Linked DNA regions of Coturnix japonica. The protein of the gene in region 1 binds, or shares a complex with, the protein of each later gene. Links are inferred from orthologs where the notes say so. Each region holds a gene or a part of one and is shown in the gene's direction. Other genes may lie near its edges.

Evidence for each region.
Region 2: the proteins of MEP1A (region 1) and FETUB are in contact, whole or in part, in a cryo-EM structure (PDB 7UAI), measured with the Homo sapiens proteins. The link is inferred for Coturnix japonica from reciprocal best matches to the Homo sapiens genes MEP1A and FETUB. Residues at the interface, in NP_005579.2 of Homo sapiens: Asp126, Gly127, Cys128, Trp129, Ser130, Glu131, Val132, Gln145, Gly146, Cys147, Tyr149, Ile152, His155, Glu156, His159, Tyr164, His165, Gln167, Ser168, Leu184, Gly186, Tyr187, His189, Asn190, Asp192, Tyr194, Tyr214, Gln215, Phe217, Ser218; in NP_001362516.1 of Homo sapiens: Phe109, Phe110, Lys144, Lys145, Tyr148, Met149, Thr150, Cys151, Pro152, Asp153, Cys154, Pro155, Ser156, Ser157, Ile158, Ser196, Ser197, Gln198, Trp199, Val200, Val201, Gly202, Tyr205, Phe206, Thr242, His245, Trp246, Phe249, Val250, Ser251.

Annotation. Positions count from the first base shown.
Region 1 is NC_029518.1:100,153,620-100,157,693, forward strand, and holds the start of MEP1A (meprin A subunit alpha), read left to right. Parts: upstream 1-1,274; 5' UTR 1,275-1,818; coding exon 1,819-1,902; intron 1,903-1,987; coding exon 1,988-2,012; intron 2,013-2,110; coding exon 2,111-2,164; intron 2,165-3,306; coding exon 3,307-3,347; intron 3,348-3,455; coding exon 3,456-3,534; intron 3,535-3,844; coding exon 3,845-3,962; intron 3,963-4,074.
Region 2 is NC_029524.1:14,158,201-14,162,240, forward strand, and holds the start of FETUB (fetuin-B), read left to right. Parts: upstream 1-1,240; 5' UTR 1,241-1,352; coding exon 1,353-1,574; intron 1,575-3,594; coding exon 3,595-3,705; intron 3,706-4,040. UniProt on the Homo sapiens protein: Protease inhibitor required for egg fertilization.

The DNA of each region.
Region 1 (4,074 bases):
GAATGATGGAAACTCATCGTGCTGAGTCCTCAAAGAAAAAAATAGCTCTTATGCTCCACATTCATGTGAAACTCTCTGTTATCATTTGTATTAAGCACGTATTTCCTGAATGTTCCTGAACCCAGCATGGAAGCATTCTGGGATGGGGTTAACATGGAAGATCTGACTTGATACTGACAGGCATAAAATACATTACGCCATTCCTGGCAGCTTCGAGCGTCACCTTCTTGGCCTGCTGCTCTTAGAGTCCATCAGCGTCCATGGAATGGTGCAAAGCAGACAAGTGCTGCTGAATGGGGCCACGTTGGGCAGACAGATGGAGGCCATGCTTTGGTGGGAAACTGTGCTTTTTTGACGGCCGTTAGACTTCACCATGCTTTTTAGAGAGGTGAAAAGGAAGATGTGCAGAGATAAATAGGTTATTAGAATTACCCAGTCCAGGGCTGTCCAAATAGGAAGCTGACTTTCACCCAAACAGAAGAGGAAGTCACTTGAGCGGGATGCTCCAAGGGAGGAGCAGCAGGTGGGCTGGCAGTGTGGGCAGTGTGGGGAGCAGCACCTGGCAGTGGGGAGAGGGCGATTTGCTGCTCTCATCCTGCAGGGGTCCGTACTGACGTGGGTGGGGGGCACCCAATGAGTGGCAAAAGCCGACACGTGGAAGATCCACCAAGCAGGGAGGAAAACAAAGAGCAGGATTGCTTGTTGGTGAGGAAAAAGAGCTCTCCTGCTTTTAGAGGAACAGCTTTGCCTGTTGCTTTGTTGGCCGTTCTCTTGTGGTTTTCAGGATTTGCTGACCCCGAGGCTCTGGTTGCATGACAGAGCACGTGGTGCAGGAGCTGATGCCTTGGCTGCTCAGCACTTGGCTTCAGGCAGACAGCAAACAGTGCACCCATGGGTGCAGCCATAGGGCCTGGGGAGACCCCACTGCCACGCGGATGGAAAGTGCCCGTAGAGATGTGGTGAGCTGTTACACAAAGCCCTTCATGTCACCCTCATGAAACTGATTACAAATGGAATATAGAGTGGGGCTGAGATGGGCAGGTCAGGAGAGAATCATAGAATCACAGAATGGCCCGGGCTGGAAGGATCATAAAGCTCCAACTGCCCTGATGCAGTCAGGGCCCCATCCAACCTCCACATTGATACCAGCCCAGGCTGCCCAGGGTCCCATCCAACCTGGCCTTGAACAGCTCCAGGGATGGACGGGGCATCCACAGCCTCTCTGGGCAGCTGAGAACAGACTGAGAGCAGCCCTGAGGACCTTGGTTTCTGATGGCCATGGCTGTCTCTGGAGGGCAGGGCTGTGCTGTGCACTGAGCTGTGTGTCCTGGGGTGCATCGGCCGTGGGAAGCTGCTGTCAGGGCATTTGTAATCATATCTCTCTTATTTCTAATCTTTATGATATACTGTTAATTATTAATGGAGAGAAATGCCAGCTGAAATTATCATGTCACCAGAGTGCTATAAACTCAATAATTCTGTTCGAGCACGTGGCTTTTATCCAGCGCAGCTGAGATCGTAATGCTGACAGACAATAAACACGGTGGAAGGAGTCAGCAACTTTGGGCCCTACTGAGATGGTGCACAGAGCCCACGTGAGCCTTGTGCTGCATGGAACTGGGAGCGATCGCATTCCTCTCTAACATTCCTCTAAAGTGGACTTGGGTAAGGCAGCAATATCATCACCTGCCATTGAGGGGGACAATATGAAGTTATGATAACAACCAAGGAGGAAAGCTGGCAGCTGGTTGGCTGGTGCCTGTGGGAAGCTCAGCAGCGTGCCCTATATATTGCCAGAGATGAGGGGAGCCAGCTTCCATGTCTGCTGCAGAAATGGGCACCCACAGCTCCCTGCTCTTCCTGGCTCTCCTGTCATGTTATGCATGTGCTAATCCAGTCTCTGTAAGTAGAAACCTGATTTCAATGGGTTCCTCTCAATGCAGAAATGCCCCATACCTTATGCTGGCTCTGTGTTATTCTCTTGCAGGTTGAGCATCTCTCCAGTGTGCCTGGTAAGCACTCTGTGAACTGCTTTGAGTTCTGAAGCATTTTGTTTTGCCTTGCTGTGTTCCACCACAGCTGAGCACACGATGTTCTGTCTGTCTTGCAGCTGGAGAAGGTGATGCTGGTGAGATAATCAAAGACATTCCAGAAATAAACTTAGGTGAGTTCATGGCTAAATTCTTCATCAGTTCTGAACCTGCCAGTGCCTTCTCCCTGGTATCCTACATCAGGATGCACAGGAATGGCACAAAGATGCTCCAGGAGAGGTTCACAGTAGGTGCTGGGAAAAGTTTCTTTGCTGTGAGTGTGATCAAACAGTGGCACAGTCTTCCTGGAGAGGTGGTTGGTGCCCATCCCTGTCCATGTTCCAGAGGCATTTGAATAAAGCCCACAGTAATGACTGAAGTTTTAGTTGGCCATGACGTGGTGAGGCAGTTGGAGTGGATGATCACTGTAGGTCCCCTCCAACTGAGCTGTTCTACTCTACTCCATTCTTCTCCAGTCTACTCTGCTCTACACCAAGCAAAATGCTGATGTCTCAGGTCCCTCCTGTATAAAATTATTGTCTAGACATTCTGCGACCCTCTGTAAGCAAAGCATGCAGATGTCTTTTGCTTCTCTTGTTTGGATGGGCTCCTGGTGTAAAGACAGTATCACCCTTTATCAGTTTAAGGGCTCTGGAGTCCTTCCATACGTTTATGATATGTATGAAGCTTTACAAACTTGCTGCGGGGTGAGCTCAGTGCAGCCTGCCAGGACCTGAAGGGAGCCTACAGACAGGAGGGGAGTCAGCTCTGTGAAAGGGCAGATAATGGCAGGACAAGGGGAAATGGATTGGAGTTGAAGGAGGGAAGACTGAGGTTGGATGTCAGGGGAAGTTCTTTACTGTGAGAGCAGTGAGGTGCTGGAACAGCTGCCCAGAGAGGCTGTGGATGCCCCGTCCATCCCTGGAGGTGTTCAAGGCCAGGTTGGATGGGGCCCTGGGCAGCCTGGGCTGGTATCAATGTGGAGGTTGGTGGCCCTGCCAGTGGTGGGGGGTTGGAGCTTCGTGATCCTTGGGGTCCCTTCCAGCCCAACCATGCTGTGATTCTGGGATTCTATGATCTGGATAAAGGCTGTCACCAGATTTCTGCCACAGAAAGTGCTTAGTATTAAATACTGAGTAGAAGCCGGGGATAGACTTTGATTTCCTGTAAATGCATGAGGACGTGTCTTTGGATGAGTATGCTCAAATGTGGCTTTTGAGTTAAAATGATTATTTGATATTCCATTTACATTACCTTTCAATAAATTGCTTTTCAGCTGCTGGATTGGACCTCTTTCAGGGTGATATCTTGCTTCCCGTAAGTAATTACAAAAACCTTATTGCTCTCATTTGTCCCAATTGGACTTCTGGTACCCACCAGCCCATCTGTATCACCTGCATCACCAGCTGTCCATTCTCTTTCCAGGTCAACCAGCGAAATGCCTTAAGGAACGACACCTACAGGTGGAAGTTCCCCGTTCCCTATATCCTGGGTGATGACTTAGGTAATACTGGTACTTTATTCATATTCTAACTCCAGTATTTGTTTGCACTGGAATCAGTGCAGTAAAAAAATGTGCTTTGTTCAGAGCTGGTTCTGTCCCATTGATATCCACTATTAACCAGATTGCTCCTTTGCATCAAACCCTTTTTTTCTCCTACAGCTATCATAACAAAACATAGCTTCATCACATTCAATCAGTTCTGTTTCCATTCATTTTCCTTCCAGTCCCATACATAAACCTGTGTCCATTACCTCTCTGTGGAGAACCTCCCCTGCGTGCTAACGATGCTCTGTTCATGTTTGTTCTCCAGATCTGAACGCCAAAGGAGTCATTCTCCAGGCATTTGAAATGTTCCGCCTTAAGTCCTGTGTGGATTTCAAGCCGTATGAAGGAGAAGCAAGCTACATATTCTTCAGAAAAGAAAGCGGGTAGGGGAACATCAACTTCTGTTTATTTCTTCTGTGCAGAACCAACGGGAATTCATTTCATCCAGTTCTGTGTGAGCTGGTTGTTGTAGTGAAAGAGGCCACCAAGAAAGCA
Region 2 (4,040 bases), on another chromosome or scaffold:
TGCCTCTAAACCCACAGGATTACAAAGCTAGGCAATGCCAGGCAGGAGCTGAAACCAGATGCAGCCAGAAGTTAAGGTTAGAGGAGATAAAAAGAGAACAGCACCTGCTATTTGGAATCAGAAGGAATGTGGAAGGATGGCAAGTTCAGAAAGTGTTCTGCTCAATGTGGCAGTAAGAACAAAGTCAGATGGCAGGAGAAGATGGAATGAAACAGGAAAGGTTCAGGGAAATCAGAGTTGTGGATCAAATACCTGGTAAGCATCAATAAATTGAGAGATCCAGGCAACAAAAGATAAGTGGGCTGGAGTCAAGGCATTGCAAGGGAACAAATTCTGTAATGGAGCATCCACCAAGTAACGTTTTGGCAGCCCTGCTTCATTTACTGTCTGTTTCCCCCAGCCTTTCACAACAGCTCATTTTGAAGCACTCCACTAAAAGAAGTGACGCCTTTGGGGCAAGAACAAATTTCAGCTTACCACATCTCTGCTACTATACGCAATTACAGCGATTGCTAAGTCCCAAATGAAGACAACAGAAACTCCTGGTTAAAAGCAGACACCATGATGAAACTGTTACATCTTTTTACACTATCAGGTTGTATGTATGTACAGAAGTATGTAATGGCTTGAGCGGGCCACTTGTTCACAGGCCTCTTGCCTGGACATGGATTGAATTTTGCTTGCTTGGCCGTGGCTAAGGGTCAACAATAATTTGCAGGTAGCCAAGTGAGTAGAAATACTCAGAGAATGAATCCAGACTGACCGTTCTGTCCCTGCAAAGTTCCAAGTTGACAACATACTTGAAGAGTTGGTATGTTTGTTTACAATTAGAATTTAACAAACAGAAATGCCAGGTGTGAAATCCATCACCCTCTCCACTCTTACCCTGCTTCCACTCAAACCAGTGAGACCTTGGTCATTGTTTTACATGGGAGAAAACCTGGATCGCTGACAGAACAGAGCTGGAGCCAGAACTGTCCTGCGCACAGGTTTATTTGAGCACTGCTGGTTCCTTAAGAAAGCAGCTTTCTGGGTATATTCTTGTGCCTTCTGATGAGGTCAAAGTTATGTGATCTGCCCAACCACATCTGAACTGGAGCTGTAAAGGCAGAAGGAAAAAGTGCTCTCTGCTCTCAGTGGGAGCCACAAGGCTTGCATAAAACCTTGTAATCATTGACTTAGTGTTTGCAATTGTAGCTATAGGTTTAAAGGTGATGTGCAGTACGTAATAAAGAGAGGACACAAGTTTATAAACACACGGTTCCATTACAAAGCCTGCTATTTCACGCAGTTCTCAGCTCCTGCGTACCAGCCTCCCATTCTGATCTGCGGCACGGCTTTTTCTAAGCAGAATGCTTTTACTTATTTCAGTGCTCTTTGGCACGCAGGCACTTTGCTCCTGGGCTGCCTCTGCTCCTGCCAGAGAGCTGCCAAGCGTGCTGCTCTCCCCCTCCTGCCATGACGCTGCAGTGGAGGAGGCTGCAGACCTGGCTCTTGACCAGATCAATGCTGACCGAACAGAGGGCTACATCCTCAGCCTCTATCGCATTTTCAGTGTCAGAGAACATCCTCAGGTAAGTTACCTGCTTGTTATACATCTGTTTCTCTCACGAAGAGCCCCGTGTCTATCAGTATTCCCCAGCAATAGTTATTTGAACTGCAAAATACTCTGAGACAAATGTAAACCTCCATTCACAGGACTGCAGGGGCCATGTCACCTTTACGCACAGATGAATAGAAACAGTTTCATCACCACTGTGGGCAATTAGAGAGCAAAGCTCAGGCATGATTCTCTGCTGCCTGCCCCTGGAATAGCTCCAGGCATCAGTTCCGATTTGATATGAAACACCACTCCTTGGATTTAATTTCATATTACACCTTCCCCCCACTGCCTTGAGCTGTTGGAGTGCAAGAGCTAATAAGCCACCACATATTTTGCACAAAAGATGTGAGTGCTAACAGGTGGAAACACAACCAGCTTGGGACCAGGGAATTCCTTTACACATCTCTACATGATGAGTCATTCTCCAGAAGAAAACCAATAACAGTTCAAGTGCAAAAATTACACAGGGAATAGGTGTGGAATATCACTTTCGTATCCTCAAATGTTTTATTTCCCTATGCATGCTTAGTTCATTTTGTGTAATGACAGATGAAGCTACTGGCATTAGCAAGGGATAGCCTTAAATGACTGCACCAGGCCCAAACGCACACAGCACTGAGTCAGCTCTTCTGAGAGCTGTTTCCACATAGGACACCTGTGGGTTGGTCCAGAGCCCACACTGCTGGTTGTGGAGCTGGTGCTGGCCCAGTCCTATCACCAAAGCTGTGTGCAGCTCTAAACCTCTCTATTCATCTCCTTGCTTCTCCCTTCACCCATACTGAGTCCCGCTCAGCTCAAAGGGATTCTGGGCCTTGTTCGGGATTTGATCTGCCATTTAATTCCCCAGAATCTTATTTCATTAGGGCACAGTTTGTTCTTTGTTTCTTTGTGAGTTTGATTTACTGCTATTATTTTGTGTAAGCATCTAATAAGCTTATCCTACAAGTGAGGTGTTCTGAGACACTGTAATAACACACTAGGCAATCTAAGCCCTTTGTCACAATCTTGCTGCTGCTGGAACAGAGCACATAATAAGCAGTTGGCTATGTCAGGGATAATCATCGACAGTAAAAATATTATATAACCTTCAATGCACCTCACAAATTTCAAGAAATATATACGTGTATTTAATCAGTCCAAGTTCCTTCCTCCCACTTTTTTAGTCAGTACTTACGATAAAAACATTTTCAAAATGACTTCAAATTCTAATCTGCCCTTAAGCAACTTGTGGCTCAGTTTTGCTCTAATTGAAACTAATAAGCCATCTGCTATTAACTTACACGCAAGTAGGACAGAGCCTTCTTTCATATACGATACTCATGATTAGCTTCAATAACAGCCACTTAACCAAAATTACAAATCATGCCAAAATACTTCATTTCTTCCCCTTGCACCAGAACATCCTGCCACAGAGGCAATCAATTCTGTGTCCCTGCCAAATCTCTTTTGGCTCCCAAGCTTTCCAGCACACGTGGCACAGCACTACTCGCATCAGCAGCATTGAGGGGGGGATCTCTTTGTTGGAGCAGAAAAGATACAAGCCTTTATTCAATACCAAGCAGATATCAAAGGCCCTTGCATAGTGGTCTTTTTATGAAAATTAAAAGAAGGATAATGAAACCTTCAGAGATCTGCTGAGCTCTGAATAAACCCCAAATTATCCTTTCCCCAGAGGAGAATGATGCATACCGAAGCACGAAGACAAAAAGATGTGTAGATTTTATAATAAGCTCATAATAAGCAGAGTTGCAGAGCTGATATTGTACAAGAGAGACACAGGAAACAGGAAATACCGTATCAAAATGGTACAGACATTGGCATCAGACATCTACAAGATTCTTGCCCCATAAACCAGTGAAATCAATTCATTTAGTTTTATCTCCCTCTTCAATAAGACATAATCTCAGTCTAAACGTGCAGTTAACACATGTAAGCTTTTTATTGTGTTCCGTACACAGCTACAATAAGACCTGTTCTCTTCTTGTGCTCAGGAGATCCCTGGTTCTGTCTTCTATCTCATCTTGGATGTAGTGGATACCGAATGCCACGTACTCAGCAAGCGGCCGTGGAAGAACTGCAGGGTCAGACCGGCTCATAAAACTGTAAGGATTTTGTTTTCATATTTAATCTCAGGCATGAGGGTTACTCAGGTACTACTAAAGACAACAAAATCCCTACACGTGCATTCTGAGTAGACAGCAGAGTCTTAATAAGAAAAAATCAACCTCATTTTAAGGTTCACAGGTTCTTCGCTGTACTTTCTAGTCAGTTTATAGAGTGGGAAGATTTATTTCATAAAATGAAAATTGAAGGAAAATTTTTGATCAGAACTAATAAGCAGATAGAGCTAAACAGCTGTGCTAGGGCACTATTTAGCCCTGTATGAGTTTGTTTTAAAGATAGACTGTCAGAAAGAGAATAAAAGCCCAGCAAGATA